2 linked regions of the Arabidopsis thaliana genome follow. The protein of the gene in region 1 interacts with the protein of each later gene in a pairwise test. Each region holds a gene or a part of one and is shown on either strand. Other genes may lie near its edges. The genes, in order: CPK7 and AT5G44090.

Region 1 (6,933 bases):
GACAAAACTACTGTGTATGTATTTGCCAGATAGTTCAAGGAACTTTGACTTACAAAGTGACAAAGCAGTAAAGGGTGACCTTTTACTTTTATGTTTCTCCAAATTTGCTATTGAACAGTTCAAATATTGGCTCTTACCTCAGAGACAAATCAAATCTCAACTACTTTCATAGTCACGCAAAAACATATGGTGAAAATTTGCAGACCCCATAACAACCACAAACTACCCTTAACCTTTCGTCTACCCGAATGGGTCACCTAAAAGATTTTTGTTCTCAATTTTCTCATCCATCCCTACCATCTCATAATTTCTCATAGTAAGTTCCTGCGATCTGACAAGGACACTTAAACAGAAAGTCACCAAAGGAAAAAGTGAGCAAGAAGAATGATTACCACATCGGCAAAGACAACTTCAAGTTCATTGAAGAAGTTTTCTCTACGCCGTTCATACTCAGCAGCAGTCTGTAACAAAACAAGCAACACATTATGATAAATATCAGCTTGCTCTGGTAGCATTTCAGAGAGAACAAAAGGTGCTCGATTTGTTAAGCAGCCAAGTCACGATTAAAAACCAAAAGCAATCCAGAAATCAGATAAAGAAGGAAAATAAAAATCGAAACTTGCAAGTCAAATTAGTTATCAAGTGAATAAGAGAAAGGAGAGACCTTGGTGAAGATTCCAACACCACATTCCATGGCGAGTTTAGCCATGAAGAGATCATCAGCCAACAATCTTTCCCTAAACCCACCAAACTGCATCAGCCACCGCATCACAGCCGATTTCTGAAGCTCCAGGAACCGAGTGATAACCGATCCAGGAATCCGACCCGCCTCAATAGCAGCCGCTAGATCTTTGGGAAGACTCTCCAATTCAATCCCAGACTCCTTCAACAAAAGCATCGCCTCGTTCCTGTTCCTATCCCTGTCCTCGTCACCGTGTCCATCTCCATCATTCTTACCTCCATCGCCACCACCACCACCACCACTAAGACCTCCTCCGTTGTTATCAGAGCCGCCGTTACCACTTGAAGCGGATAAAACAGGGGTAATAGGTACACGGCGGTTAAAAGAGATTGACTTTGCAGAGATTACACCGTTAAAAGAGGAAGATGAAGAGAGTCTAGGAAACGAAGCGATGTGAGGCCATGTCAGATTGGATTCAGAGATAGCTGTGTTCGGTGTTGGAACACAGAAGAAGCAGGAAGCGATTGCCATTGATGCTACAGACAGCGAGAAACGAAAAAGAGATCTTTGAAACTGGAACTGAAACTGAAAGTCGTCTGGTTCAGTCTCTCTCTCTGTAGGTAGAGGCGGACGATTGAGAGAAGTGGAGAGTCAGCGAAAAAGAAGAATCTTTCTTTCGGAGTTTTAAGGGTTTTTTCTTATTTTATATATCTGGTGGACCTCACTATCGAGAGAATCCAACTGGCGCGTGTCTTTCACGAAGCATCTTACACCATCTTATAAATATATGAATTACAATCACAAAACTCGTATCTTTGGAATCTCAGAAACTTGTTCGACATCATCATCAATCACATCGCTGTCCATTGAAGAACTTTTCAAACAAATTGAAAGCCCTAAACAAAACCTACGACCACGACCAATCTTTCTATCATTACCGTGTTAAATGCTTATAGAACATAATAGTTATTTCTTTTTGACAATGCTGACGCTTCTTTCTTCTTCTTCTTCTGCTGCTGCTTTTTCAAAAAGATTCAAACTTTTGTCTCTTGCTTTCTTAGGTCTCGCCTTCTAATTGCAATGAACCATCTCTCATTAACTTGAGGCTTAAACTGTTGAATCTTTCCCGAGAATACTGTCTTGACGCTTTTCTCCAATCTGTCCCAGCTTTCATCATCGCAACAAACTCTTCATAGCTTATTCGTCCATCCTGATCACACGAAACAAGATATCAAAATGAGTGGAGAAGTCAAGAATGTCGCGCGTTTGAAAAGATTCAGACAGCTTTACCTTGTCGGTATCAACATCTTGCATGATGGCTGCGATTACTTCCTCACTGCTAGTATTATCCAATTCATCATTCAAGGCTTCACGAAGTTCGTCAATCTCTATGTAACCACTCTGGTTCTGATCAAAGAAGTTAAAAGCTTTATGCAAGTGTTCATCATTCGCCATCTTCTTAAGGTGGACTGAAACAGCAACAAACTCGCTATAGTTCAGTGTCCCATCCCCATCAACATCAGTCTGCAGGAAACAAAAAAAAAGAGTTTTAATTTTCAGAAGTGATATAGCACTTGTTTCGAGCTAATCGCTCTGAAATGAAAGATTCATACAGCTTCCATAAGAATTTGAAGATCAGTATCAGCTATCTGTTGTCCAGCTTTTTGAAGTCCATATTTAAGCTCCTCGAGATTTATCTTGCCTCTCTTGTTTACGTCCATCATTTCAAATGCTTCCTTTATCCCTGCTGCTTCCTCCACTGACAAATGTTCAGCTATCACCTAGAAGGACGAAACAAATTTACATTTTCATTTTTGATTCTGAATCAGACTGGAAGCAAATCGATAATCAGTGACATGGTTTAACAGAATCAATACTCGTAGAGCTCGTTTCTTGAGCTTGTTCATAACAGAAAACTGCTTTAGTCTTGCTTTCACAGTCTCCCCAAGAGAGACATTTGGAGCCTTCTTTGCATTCAGTATCCAAGTATGTTCTGCAAATGGAATATTTATTTATGAGTTTACGATTTCAGAAAGCTCAGCCTTGCTGAAAACAGAAGCCTACCGAGAACTTGTGCAGCAGTAAGCCGTTTTTTGGGATCAGGTTCAAGCATCTTTCTCACAAGGTCTTTGGCGCTGTCAGAAACTCTTGGCCATGGATCTCTCTTAAAGTCAATAACTGATCTAATGATCGCTTGAGCCACCCCTTGCTCAGTCTCTGTACCCAAAAGAAAGATAAAAACGTCTGAAAGAGGTCTTAAAGTGAATAAGCCAGAGGAAACAAAGAGAATGCGGTAAAGCATAAACAAACCTGCCCAAAATGGCGGAACACCACAAAGTAGGATATAGAGGATAACTCCAGCGCTCCACACATCGATCTCAGGACCATAGTTTCGCCGCAGCACCTCGGGTGCCATGTAATAAGGACTTCCAACAATCTCATTAAACTGCTCACCTGTTACAGTTTAGAAAATTCAGCTCAAGTAAAGATACACTAATAAATGTGCTCCATTGATACTCATCAAAAGCTGATGTTGTAAATGTACCAGGTTTGAAGAATACAGATAATCCAAAATCAATGGCCTTAAGGGCTGATGTCTCTTTCTTATTTGCAAAAAGAAAGTTCTCTGGTTTGAGATCCCGATGCATCACTCCTTGCTTATGGCATATCTGTAAAGACAAACCAGCGATGTGTGAACATAAAACACAGACAAAAGGAATTGGGGACTTCAGACATTGTAAACACAGCTATATATGGAACCTGAACAACTTCAACAATAGTCTTCATAACCGCAGCAGCAGCCCGCTCAGTGTAATGACCTCTTGCAACAATCCGATCAAACAGTTCCCCTCCTTCACACAACTCCATAACTATATGCACCGCATCATCATCCTCAAAGGAATCCTTCAAAGAGACGACATTTGGGTGTTTAGGCATATGCTTCATAATCTCAACCTCCCTCCTAACATCCTCTATATCAACTGCTGTTCTCAGCTTCTTCTTAGATATGGACTTGCAGGCATACTTCTCACCAGTTTCCTTATCAGTACACAAGTAAGTTATACCAAACTCGCCTCGACCAACCTCACGTCCAAGATCATACTGCAAGGATATATCATGTCCTGTAGGATCTTTCAGCACAGAGAGCTTAAAACCAGCTCCAGATCTATCTGTTGTAGCGTATTCATTGCTGTAAAAAGGATTGTTTTTGTTCTTGGGTTTCCCTTGTTTACTCTGGTTCGTAGCCGAACTCGGATTGCCACAACAATTCCCCATCTAATCAAATCTCAAGGTTCCTGAAAAACCCAGAAAGATTAAAACTTTGAGCACTGTTCTTCAAGGTTCCATTAGTAACTTAAGCCAATAACTATTTCTAATTAACAACATATCCTAAATCAAACAGAACCCTAATCTAATATACTCAAACCAGATTAGTAAACCCTAGCTAAGATCAAAGACAAGGGAAAGAGGGAAAACACAGACCTCAGAACTTATAATGGGTAGAAACATTTAAATGGGTATAAATCAGTTGAAGCAAAAGAAGATATGTAGCTAAAAAGGATAAATTAAAGAGAAAAGTCATCATACGCTGTGAGGAAAAACAAATGCAGTGATAGAGAGAGAAGAAGAGAGGAAGAAGACGAGTCAAAGTCTTCCTCTTTCTCTCTCTTCTTCAAATGACAAAACACACAAATTGACTCTCTTCTTCTTCTTCTTCTTCTTGCTTGCGGGGATTCAAAGAATGACAACTCTTAATTTTTTATGTGTTTCCATATTCTCTTTCATATGCTCTTCGTGTTTTTTGTTGATATAAATAATCGATCTGCCCGTTGTAGATTTAACAACTTCTTTTTTTTCACTGTCCTTTTCAAATCTGGTTTATATGCAAACTTGAAACTTCCATGAGCAAACTATGCAACTTATTGCAAGCTGTTTTTTTTTTCTTTGCAAAACATAATGTTTAATAGGTTTCTTCTACTTTCTAATCACTCTCCTCCGGTCAAATAATGTTTAAGTTGGCGAAAACAGAGAATTTGACTACAAATCTGAAGCATTGTTATAGCCTTGTTAACACTTTGTGGTCAGAAAGGCAAACGATTAAGCAAACGTATTTTTCAATTTTGCAAAAGAGAAAAAAAAGGTCAAAGAATAAAAACAAGACCTACTTGCTATTCCTTAGTCTCTTGTCTCCAAAATCTAACACCTAACATAACTCGCTCTTTGTACATTCATCATAACTGTTAAACCCACACAATATGAGACTCTGACAAGAACAACTAGCAAACACAAAAACGAAAAAGCCAAGAATGATTTGCCGGTTTGAGGCAATGATTATATTAGCCAAAGTGTGTGTCTCTCTCTCCTCTCAGAGCTTTGGCTTTTTTTATTATGGTGCACCAGAAGAATTCAGGGTCTCATTAGAGTCTGTCTCAACTTGTTCAGAGCCTGATGAGTTGGTTGCTGAACCCCTTTCTCTGTCTCTCCCTCCTGCATCCTCTCCCGCTTCTACCTCACTTTTCTTCGCAAACCGGCCTCCACTCGCTCGTGCCCTTCTCATTGCATGCTTGTGTCTTGACTCGTGAAGATATGGCTGTCGCATTTCAAACATAGTCAATACAAGTTTACCGAGCGACAAACCAAACTTGCAAATTCTTAATGCTCATTATCAATCCTTCATATAGCATGGGTCCACTTCTATTATGGACTCTACACCATCCTTAGATTACCAGGACACCAATCAAGTACAATTTTCATAAATGAGAAAAAAATACCTTTCTGTCCCGGATGACTTTCCTCTCTAGCTCTGCCTTGGCACGTGCTTTTCTTCGCCTTAGAATTCCCTCGTACTGCTTTGCATTCACATAAACGGGCTCTTGTGCCATGTCAAGTGGCAGAGCTGTTCTTTCACGAGGCATTCCAAGATATGGACGAAAACCCTGTTTAAACCAATGAACAAAATAAATGCAACAAATAGACTCAGATCATCGAAAACTTTACATATAACTTATAAGACCCCAAGAATCCCCATTAGTTGTTCTCGATAATTTCAGATATAACTTTGGATTCTCAGTTATTTCAGAAATGAACTTTAAAAGCATCTCACTGACTATTGCTGAACCCAGACACATTCCAACAGTAAATAAAATCACCACAAACGGGTACTTAGTGGCAAAAGCGCACATACATCAAATAAACACTGCACCATATGGAACTATTGTAGAGATTGAAAGAGGTTTCGACAAGATACCAATTGCTGATGACCATATGCTCCCATCAATCCCCCATAATATGGATCCTGATATGGGTTTGGGACACAAGCCTGTAAGGAAGTTTTGAGTTTATCATACATATGAAAAGGGCGTTATACAAGATAAATCCTTTTGAGGGACCAATAAGAAGTCAATTTAACAGCTCAAGAACTCATAAAGCATATATATATATATATTAAGGAATGAGAGGAAACCACATACGATATAGTGTCCAACAAGCTCTGGTGGTTGTACAAGTGGCTGATCATGCATGTTACGGATAGAGAGCGCTGGGTCATTTCCTTCCATTCCGTGATTATCTACTGAAGTTGAAGAAAGACACCATTACAAACAAAATAAAGAAATCACAATGCACATATCAACGAGACAGAATCTCCTTGGCATGGATAGAACTATGAAACCCTACAATTACAATGCAAGTATATTTCAAGGACCAGATTCATGAACTTGACACGCCCTATAGTGCCGAATCACACAAATGCCCATTTAATTTCCCTGCCTGCTTGAGGAACAACTCTTCACCAAGTTGCAACATTCCGAACGTGGAACAACATCACTTTCGACAGTGATCACTAGGTCATCCAGTAAAACAGTACTGCAGAAATGATGAATATGAACAATACACCAAGTAGGCCTAAAGACCAAGAACTCAAACCTGAACGAGAGGAAGTTGCAGCTTGTGAATCCTTCCAAGTGCCATCGTTTTCACCATTCAACGCACCGTCTTCAGATGCTGAATGAACATCGTTTGACTCGGAACCATTGGGGCAATCCAAAGAAGAGGAATTTGATGGAATTCCAGAAGGTCTCGCTTGAGGTACAACACCAAAGGAGTTGTTTTTCCACCAGGGCTCTGCATACATCATCGGCTGCTGAACAGCATGGTGATTATTGACTTCCTCTTCGTTTTCTCTTCCCGGTTTTGATTGCATCTCTACATAATCAAGTCAACACATGTTCAGTAACCAATTCAAAATCCAA
Region 2 (9,282 bases), about 14 Mb from region 1:
GCGTCTACAGCTTCTCTACCTGAGTCTGTAAAATTCTGTATATTTTCTTGAACAGAGTTTAAACCATATGTTTTTTTGGGCTATCAGCTTACCTTGGCAGGGATTAAAAGCTGGGACAAAGAAGCAGAAGTATGACAGAATCAGCGAGAAAAAAGTGTCAACTCCTATAGAGGTTAGGTTACAACAACTTGACAAACCGAAAGGATTTTCATTTTGGCATTGGTAGGTAATCTAGCTTTTCTAACTGAGCTTGGAATGTTTCGATGTAGGTATTGTGTAAAAACCAACCGTCCGAGTTCGTTTCATACTTTCATTACTGCCGATCTTTACGGTTTGATGACAAACCTGATTACTCTTACCTCAAGAGGCTTTTCCGTGACTTGTTTATCCGAGAAGGTTCTTATCTTAACATCATTATTCCGAGAAATTTTATTCGCTTACTGTTTCAAGCCACTCTCATCTTATCTTTTTCATATTGTTGAAACTCTTACAGGTTATCAATTCGATTATGTATTTGACTGGACAGTCTTAAAGTATCCTCAAATCGGATCCAGCTCTGGTTCTAGTTCACGAACAAGGGTGATTATTAAAAATCTTATACTTGTGTTTTTACCCTCATGGTTTTTGAGTTTCTCTGTACTTACGTAAATGTAAATCTTTGGATTTTCCAGCATCATACAACAGCGAAACCCGGATTCAACGCAGATCCTATTGAAAGACAAGAGAGGATCCTAGGTAAAATTCTGCTTTTCCTACTTCTATTAAAAATCTCAAAACCATACACATCCATTCCTCACTCTAATTTCTACTCTTTTTTTATTTACCATTCGTGTAGGAAAGGAAACAACCCGATATAAAATCCCAGGTGCAGTGGAGGCATTCTCCAGAAGACACCCGACTACAACTTCTTCGCCTCGAGATCGTTCTAGATCAAGAAACTCAGACGACGGACCTTTCTCTAAGCAGACAGTAAAAATCTTACTCTTTACATACATTGTTGATCAGAACCGCTAAATAAGACAAAGACCTAACTGTGTTTGTTTTATTTGTGCAGCATGGAGACTCCGAAAGAGCAAACAGTTCCTCAAGATATAGAGCATCTTCTTCTAGGAAAGCCGTTGCTGCTTCAAGCTCCCGGCCAAGTTCTGCAGGTGGACCAAGCGAAAGCCGAACTTCAAGTCGTCTGGTTTCCTCAAGCGGTGGTGGTGGCAGCGGCAGTGGAAATGGCCGTCCCTCAACTAGCCAGAGAGTGCAAGCTGGATATGAATCCAAGACTCTGTCTTTCTCTCGTGCAACAGCGGCAAGAAACACTCGGGAAGATCAATTAAGAAGCTTCGAGCTTCTCTCTCTTCGGAAATAAAGGAAAATGATGGAGAGAGAGACAGCAAACTCCATGAAAACCCAAAGAAATTACCTCTGAAGAAAGATGAGAATCTTGGTTTGAGGGAATTCATATATTTGAACCTGATGAAATCCTCAGATCTTTTTACATGTAATTTCAGCTTCAGCTTGCAGAGATCTTTTTCACTCGTTTTGTTTATGTAATCGTGATATGTGTTAGACAAACATAACAATCAAAAATGTAGAGAGAGTTTCCATGTAAAAACGGTAAAATTTCTATCCGTATATTCGATTACTTCGAACCTATCTGTACTGGTACTGTAATAAACAAAACAATCAACTGCTCTTTGGTCTCTTTTAATGCTTCTGTTTTTTTGGGGCAGGCATACTCTGGTCAAATCATGTAAAAACGGTGAAATTTTGGCTTAATAGTAAAATTAGCTCATCTACTTAGTCAAATCATACTTTAGATGACTCCAATCTAAAACTCTTTATTTTTATTTTTTCCATACTTCAAATGTTTACTTATTCACTGATCGTATACTTGAATGGTTATAGTTAAACTCTTCACATTTTGTTAGCGCTCATCTTCGAATAAAGTGGCAAAACTGAATTTCATATTGAAGTTACACATATAAAATACATTCATTTTTAGATTCATATGATCTACTCCTACATACTTTTGCATTTCGACTAAAAAAGCAAGTGCTCCAATACAATTTTTGAGAAATGACAAATATTCATCATCATTCTTCAAAACTAGGTTTACACATGTGAAGTCACATTTTTATGACTTTAATGAATCAGTTGCAATCTTGATGATAACAGTCGAAACGTCATGAAGTTTAACAACCAAACAAACAATTTGATCGCTAATTTCTGCGATTTATTAATTGACTCGAGACTCAAATAAACATGATCGCAAAAACGGATAAAGAACGCTGGATTTGGTTGACTTTTTGGTCAACGTTGAGGACTAAAAGTGGAAAACAAAAATACCACCACCACCGCTAGTACTACTGCGTCTGAGACTGAGAGAGAGTATTAAAATCAAAATTAAATACTTTTTCCTTTTTAATTCATTTTCTCATCAATAACACAATCTCCCTGGAAAAATTCTCTACGACTTCCTCTCGTCGTCGAGCTTGTTATTGATCGGAGAGAGAGATCAGTGTTCTTTGGATCTTCCAATTTCTTCCACGTTTGTGCTTGAATTGCAGAAGAAGTTTTGTATAGGACTCTGTTTTGCTTGTTGATAGAATTTGGGAATCTAGGGTTTATCGAATCGTTTATTTTGGTTTTCGTTTAGTTTCTCTTCTTCGAGCTGGTGTTTCTCAACTAGTTAGAGAGTTTCTCGATTGGTCAGAGCTGCTTTTATTGAATTTTCTTTGGATTTCGTGCTTATAGATCTTTGAAAAGTCTGAGAATCCTGTTTTGGAGTTACTGCTTCAAGTTATTGGAAGAAATTAGGGTTTCGATCCAATTTTAGAATTGACTCAAGGAATTCCGATATTGGGGTTTTGTTGTAGTTCTGATTCTCAGTGAATAAGATAGAAGATAATCATGGAAATCGATGGTGGAAACGATGTTCAGATTTTGGATCCTGAGCTCTTGCAGCTTCCCGGTTTGTCTCCTGTATCACTTAAAGAAAATCCTCATATTGCTGAAGAACTCTTCTCCCAGTGGCTTTCACTTCCTGAAACTGGCCGATTGGTAATTTTATTCCCAAGCCTCTGGCTCAGTGGCTCCTTAGCGTCGTTTGGTTTCTTGTTCATTTAATAGTTGGCGCCTGTTTTATGTATATGCTGATACCTGTTCGTAAGTCCTTGTTGTGACTTTATCTGATTTCAAGTCAATTTCTGCAGAGCAAGATTCAACATGCTTATTGCTCTTACTGAATCCTCGGCTGTTGCATATTTAGTAGTTTTGTTTATTTCTTATAGATTTTACTTAGTGTTAGATAAAGAGTGCTTGAATAGCACATTTAGGGGTTATAATGACTTAGGTGATAATAGTACTGGGATATTACAAGGCTCTGCTAAACTTGAGAAGTGTTTGTATTTGTGTAGTACCAGATTTAACTTAAAGCTCCTGAGAATATGGTCCAGTGTTGTATGCCGATTGCCGACTCATGTTGGTGAAGAAACTTTTGGTGGTTGTTTTTCGTTTAAGGTTTTACGTGGTCCTCTTTTAACAGTTCATCTGTGTGATGTTTGTGCAGGTCAAGTCTTTAATTGATGATACTAAATCTAGTACCCCAGTCAGTGTATCCAAAAATTGTACTAGTCTCAATGTTGCTTGCGGGAGTGCATTGCCATCTGTTTTTCTGAACAGCGGCACTCCCCCACTATCCCCACGAGGCTCACCTGGGTCTCCCCGTTTCTCGAGGCAAAAGACAAGCCCTTCTCTACAGTCTCCTCTGAAATCAGTCAGGGAACCAAAGCGCCAACTCATTCCACAGGTTCGATTTTTTATCCAACTGCTCCTCATATGGATGTCTTACAAACAACATGAGAAGGCACTACCTTGCTTGACAGTTGACATCATGATTTGATTGTTTTATATATGCTCACGTAATTGTTGAAACTAGACTGTAATAGTTTTCTAAGTAGATGGAGAACCACGAGAACAAATACAATAGAAACTAAATTCTTCGTTCAAGTAGCATAGGTACAATTTTTTTTTTAACAAAACGATGACAACAAGTAAGTTTATTATGGTCATCCGTTTGACATCTTACATAGTTGAAGGGTTTAGCTAATATTGTTCAACATTCTTGTTTGACGCTTCTATGCCTTGATATGCTATGCAGTTTTACTTCCAACATGGACGTCCACCTGCGAAGGAACTAAGGGAGCAATGTATATCCATGGTTGATCAATTTTTTAGTAACTATATAGACGGACTTCATATGGATGGTGATGTTTAAATACAAGCTTTTTTACATCACAGTCCCGTTCTGTAATGAATAGACAAACAGTTGATCTTACAAACACATTCTTGCTATTGTTCAATTGCAGAATTCAAATCCATTACTAAAGAAGTCTGCAAGCTGCCTTCTTTTCTTTCCTCTGTACTATTTAGAAAGATAGACACGAGTGGCACCGGTATCGTTACAAGGTAAATCATTGTGTTCTTTCTTTTCATATGTAATTGTAGTTAAATGTATATATCCACTGGTATTCATATGTGTTTCATGTAATATAATAATAGATCACATTGGTCTGGATTTCCAGATGCACGCTCAGCTATTTGTTTCATAAATTGCTCACCCTTAAAAGAAATGGAATGTGGCATAGTAATTTTAATACCTGATTGTTATCTTTTTATTTATTTATGCCACTCGAATATAATTTCTTTTTACTTTCAATAAATTTAGTGTGCTCGATTTTATATATTGTTTAGAACATTTGTGATAAGTAATATTGAAGTTTCTACCCTGTAGATATTGTTTGGAATTGATACATCTTTAAATTAGCCAAATCATGAGTAATATCATAGAAATATACAGCAGCTGTAATCTTTCTGTTTAGCTAGTATCTTTTAAATACACCATATTTGGTTCCTGCAGGGATGCATTTATCAAGTATTGGGTTGATGGACATATGTTGGCAATGGACGTAGCCTCACAGATATATAATATTTTAAGGCAGCCAGGTTGCAAGTACCTTAGACAGGTCTCTTTGTTTTCTTTTCCCAGCTCTTCACTGCTGTTTTGATTTGTTTACCAATGATTATTGTCTCACTTGATTTCTTTAGTCCTGAAGGCTAATGTCTTCTTTTGGATTTGGGATAGGCTGACTTCAAACCAGTTCTTGATGAGCTTCTGACAACTCATCCCGGCTTGGAATTCCTGAGGAATACACCTGAGTTTCAAGAAAGATATGGTAAGAACTTGGTTTTTGATACATTGATGTTATGGTGTGAAATAGTTCTACCAGAATGTCTGTTTTCTACTAAGACGTTCGTACAATTTCTTTCCATATATATATGATCTTTCAAAACGCATTGACGAACTTGAAAGTGACATCTTTAGCTGGCTTGATTGGCCTAGGCAATAATTCTTCTAATTTTAATTCTATGTACTTGTTCATTATAATTACATTTTGAAAATTATGAGATGCTTCTTAAATATAGTATATTTTCAGGTGCTTACTGTTTTATACATCTATTGACTAATTCATAATTTTTCCCGTGCTTGTTTCATTCATCTCTGTGTTCTATTCCGTCAACCCAGCTGAGACCGTCATCTACAGAATATTTTACTACATAAACAGATCAGGTACTGGTTGCATTACTCTTAGAGAGCTGAAGCGTGGGAATCTTATTACTGCCATGCAACAAGTTGATGAAGAAGACGACATCAATAAAGTTATTAGGTGACTTTGTTTTCCTTTTCATTATTTCTTAAACAATACGTTAAAAAGATTAAGATTTTAGTTTTATTTGTATAATAAAGACCACTTTAAGTTGTTTAAGAATTCAAGCTCAGCAAGGTGTGTAGCATTGTGAGTAATATGGGTAGTGCATAGGTCTTCGAATTGTTTCTTAGACATAAGCACTACCCATAAAACTCATAAAGAGGAAGAAGTGTATTGGTAGTTCATATTGTGATACTGTGGCAAGACATCATGCATGATTTGACCATTCAATATGACCTTTTCTTTACTTTTCAGGTACTTCTCCTATGAGCATTTCTACGTGATATACTGCAGATTTTGGGAACTCGATGGCGACCATGATTTCCTTATTGATAAGGAAAATCTCATCAAATATGGTAATCATGCCCTTACCTACAGGATTGTCGACAGAATATTTTCACAGGTTGGCTCCAGTTGTCAAAATGTTAATGAACACTTTTCTCGAAACTTAATTGTTATCTTATGGAGTGTGTTTCCTTCTTTCTTAATTGAAATTACGGCTGTCTCTCACTCAGGTTCCTAGGAAATTTACAAGCAAAGTTGAGGGGAAGATGAGTTATGAAGATTTTGCATACTTTATTCTCGCTGAGGAGGATAAGTCATCTGAGCCTAGTCTTGAGTATTGGTACATGTCTCTTCCCCTCTTCTCTTTTTGTCTTTAGTGACTTCTCTTTAGCCATTTTGTCCTTTAGCTGCTTAGCTCACAGTATGTCACTATAAATGTATAACTTCTGAGCCAAAACTTGTGGCATATGTGGCCTTCTTGATGATACAAGCCTACCTGATATTTTGAACGCACTAAACATTTAGTAGTACTATTATTTCATGAACATAGGATACCCATCTTGAATCTAAGACATTTTCATTCATCATCTCATGAACCTAGAACATTTTCATTCATCATCTCATGAATCTAGAACATTTTCAGTTGAACCGCTGATATGAGGGCATACCTCGCTGGTATGCTCATCTATCTCCCATCGATGTTAAACACAGGTTCTTGGCAGTTTTTTGTTTTTCGTTTTCCCTTGATATTGATTAAAACCATCTTTGCAGGTTCAAGTGCATAGACCTAGATGGAGATGGGGTGATCACTCCCAACGAGATGCAGTTTTTCTACGAAGAGCAGCTGCATCGCATGGAATGTATAACCCAGGAACCTGTACTCTTTGAAGATATCCTATGTCAAATATTCGACATGATTAAACCAGAGGCAAAATTTCTTTTAAACCATAACATGGTCTTTTGATATTCCTGGCTTGTCTGTTCCTTTGCTCTTATTCGCATCATCAATTTGTCGAATGACTCTTTCAGAAGGAGAACTGCATCACACTCCAGGATCTGAAAGCATCCAAACTTTCTGGAAATATTTTCAATATACTCTTTAACCTGAACAAATTCATGGCGTTTGAAACCCGTGACCCTTTTCTCATTCGTCAGGTAAACATAGGTTTTCTATAGAGTTTTCCTCCCTTTGGTTATTCAATCCTTCGTTTAGCTGTTGAAACTGTTACTACTGAATATTTATTAATGCCATAAAAATTCGCAAAAATTATTATAAGTTCAGATAGTCACCTACTACTGCAGCCGGTTGTATCTGTTCCAGTCTCTGCTACTTCTAAACCAACTTTGTTTTCCATTTGACAGGAACGTGAGAATCCAACATTGACGGAATGGGACCGATTTGCTCAGAGAGAGTATGTGAGGTTGTCAATGGAGGAAGATGTGGAGGAAGTCTCGAATGGGAGTGCAGATGTTTGGGATGAACCACTCGAATCTCCATTTTAGTGACTCGTAAGAGGTACTTTGTTCAACACTGGTCAGCATCATGTTCCTTATGCATGTATGAAATAGCAAAATTGATGTGCTCAATGTTACAAGTTTGTATCTTTTGGTATATTAAACGTATTAAAAGCCGTTTTCGTTGCTTTTTTTACTAGTTTCTTGGGAAGAAGAGGGAGAAGTCAGATCTTCTTGGGTGGTAAGAGCCTCGGAAACAATTTTCAGACAGACAACCACGAAAGCCAGTCCATTCCACGGTTCCACCTAGAGATTGGCGACCAAGAGACTTATCCGATGCGTAAGCTTGTGTTAGTTTCATGAAATATTTGTCTTGCTTAGGTTTCTCAGGTTGGACCCTCTTTCAATCTTATGTATATTATTATATACGCCGCTTTATAGTGTTTTGTGGAACCAACAACAACGGTTTTATTTAAAATCGAAAGAACTATGTACAAAGACACTTTTTTTTGTGGGAAGAAATTTACAAACCTTGAAACTTGTTTTACATGATCATTGTTTTTGCTTTTTCCTCATTAGCAAATTTGTGCCTATGATATCAACTACAATTCTCGTATAAACTATAGAATATCAAATCAAATTATATACTATATATCAGTTTTTGATTGGTTTGAGCCGACATTGGTTATTTGTTTGTATAAGAATCATTAAAACTTTGTTTGTCAATATGATATTTTGGAAGATGTGTTAAAAAGTCGTGCATTTTGTTTTAACAAGCATGAACTCACTTTCTATGGCGGTTAAAAATAAGGGAATTTGACACGTTTAGACATTTTTAAAGAATTTTATTCTTTTTGAGGCACTTGTCACGGATGAAGCACTTTTCCAACTTTTTCATTAAACTTTTGACCAATTTATCTCTGAAAATTAAGAAATTATAATAAAAAAAAAAAGTTTCATCTTTCCACGTTCCTTTTTTTTTCTTCTTCTTCGTCGCTTCTTCTTTTCACTCTCTTTCTCTCTCTTCTCATTATTACTTTTTTTCTTTCCTTGCAAAATCAAACATTTGAGAGTTTGTCAAGATCGTGTAGCTTCTGTATTTTTCTTTACGGAGAAGCCTCTCTAAAGAAAACGGAGAATAAATAGTAAGGGTGTCGTTGCGACCACTTTTACATGAGATGTTGGTATCGTCGGCATCACTAGACTAAACGGCGATCACTTTTATAGTCGTTGCGACTCTTTTCATGAGAATGATGATGTTAGTCTCCAGTGGCGGATCTAGAACCATAATTAACCTGGGGCACAACATAGCTAACATATAAATTTTAAAAATAAAATACAATATAAACATTTTTTAAAAGACATGTAAATGGAAAAAGAAAAAATTGAAGTGTCCTTGTATTAGCATAATTCTTTCAAAGAGTTATAGAAAAAGATAAATTTGGAAAAATAAGTTAAATACTGAAAACATTTATTACTTGAAAATAGTAAAAATAATGAGTAATAACCAACTGATTAGAAAAAAAATCACTATAACATGGGGCACAACAAACGAATTCTTTCATCTCCAATACAAATTGCACATCAAACTTCAAAATTATCAAATCTTGCATGGGGCACGTGCCCCAGTACTCATACACTTGCGTCCGCCCCTGTTAGTCTCTACATACATTACACGCAAGTAAGTTAAAAAAAAATCAGTCGCCGATCGCTGACGTATCGATTACAAAAAGAACAGGGTCATTCCTTTTCAAAAGCCATAGAATTTGATAGCAAAAAA

What was found.
Region 2: the proteins of CPK7 (region 1) and AT5G44090 interact in a protein complementation assay, tested with the Arabidopsis thaliana proteins (one large-scale study listed by BioGRID).

What each region holds. Positions count from the first base shown.
Region 1 is NC_003076.8:4,046,078-4,053,010, forward strand, and holds CPK7 (calmodulin-domain protein kinase 7), read right to left. Parts: upstream 4,567-6,933; 5' UTR 4,271-4,566; intron 3,979-4,270; 5' UTR 3,959-3,978; coding exon 3,443-3,958; intron 3,352-3,442; coding exon 3,228-3,351; intron 3,137-3,227; coding exon 2,993-3,136; intron 2,900-2,992; coding exon 2,747-2,899; intron 2,676-2,746; coding exon 2,560-2,675; intron 2,464-2,559; coding exon 2,296-2,463; intron 2,207-2,295; coding exon 1,973-2,206; intron 1,893-1,972; coding exon 1,740-1,892; 3' UTR 1,436-1,739; downstream 1-1,435. Other genes in the region: AT5G12470 (UvrABC system C protein, putative (DUF3411)), read right to left, coding at 393-461, 665-1,213; NF-YA1 (nuclear factor Y, subunit A1), read right to left, coding at 5,070-5,273, 5,455-5,619, 5,931-6,002, 6,154-6,254, 6,608-6,884. UniProt on the Arabidopsis thaliana protein: May play a role in signal transduction pathways that involve calcium as a second messenger.
Region 2 is NC_003076.8:17,741,532-17,750,813, reverse strand, and holds AT5G44090 (Calcium-binding EF-hand family protein), read left to right. Parts: upstream 1-2,288; 5' UTR 2,289-2,904; coding exon of another isoform or gene 2,905-3,054; 5' UTR 3,055-3,219; coding exon 3,220-3,474; intron 3,475-3,562; coding exon 3,563-3,802; intron 3,803-4,153; coding exon 4,154-4,259; intron 4,260-4,361; coding exon 4,362-4,461; intron 4,462-4,912; coding exon 4,913-5,018; intron 5,019-5,137; coding exon 5,138-5,228; intron 5,229-5,578; coding exon 5,579-5,720; intron 5,721-6,017; coding exon 6,018-6,165; intron 6,166-6,277; coding exon 6,278-6,387; intron 6,388-6,818; coding exon 6,819-6,975; intron 6,976-7,076; coding exon 7,077-7,202; intron 7,203-7,409; coding exon 7,410-7,550; 3' UTR 7,551-7,563; intron 7,564-7,702; 3' UTR 7,703-8,048; downstream 8,049-9,282. Other genes in the region: ckl7 (casein kinase I-like 7), read left to right, coding at 88-172, 270-396, 494-579, 672-735, 836-969, 1,055-1,360.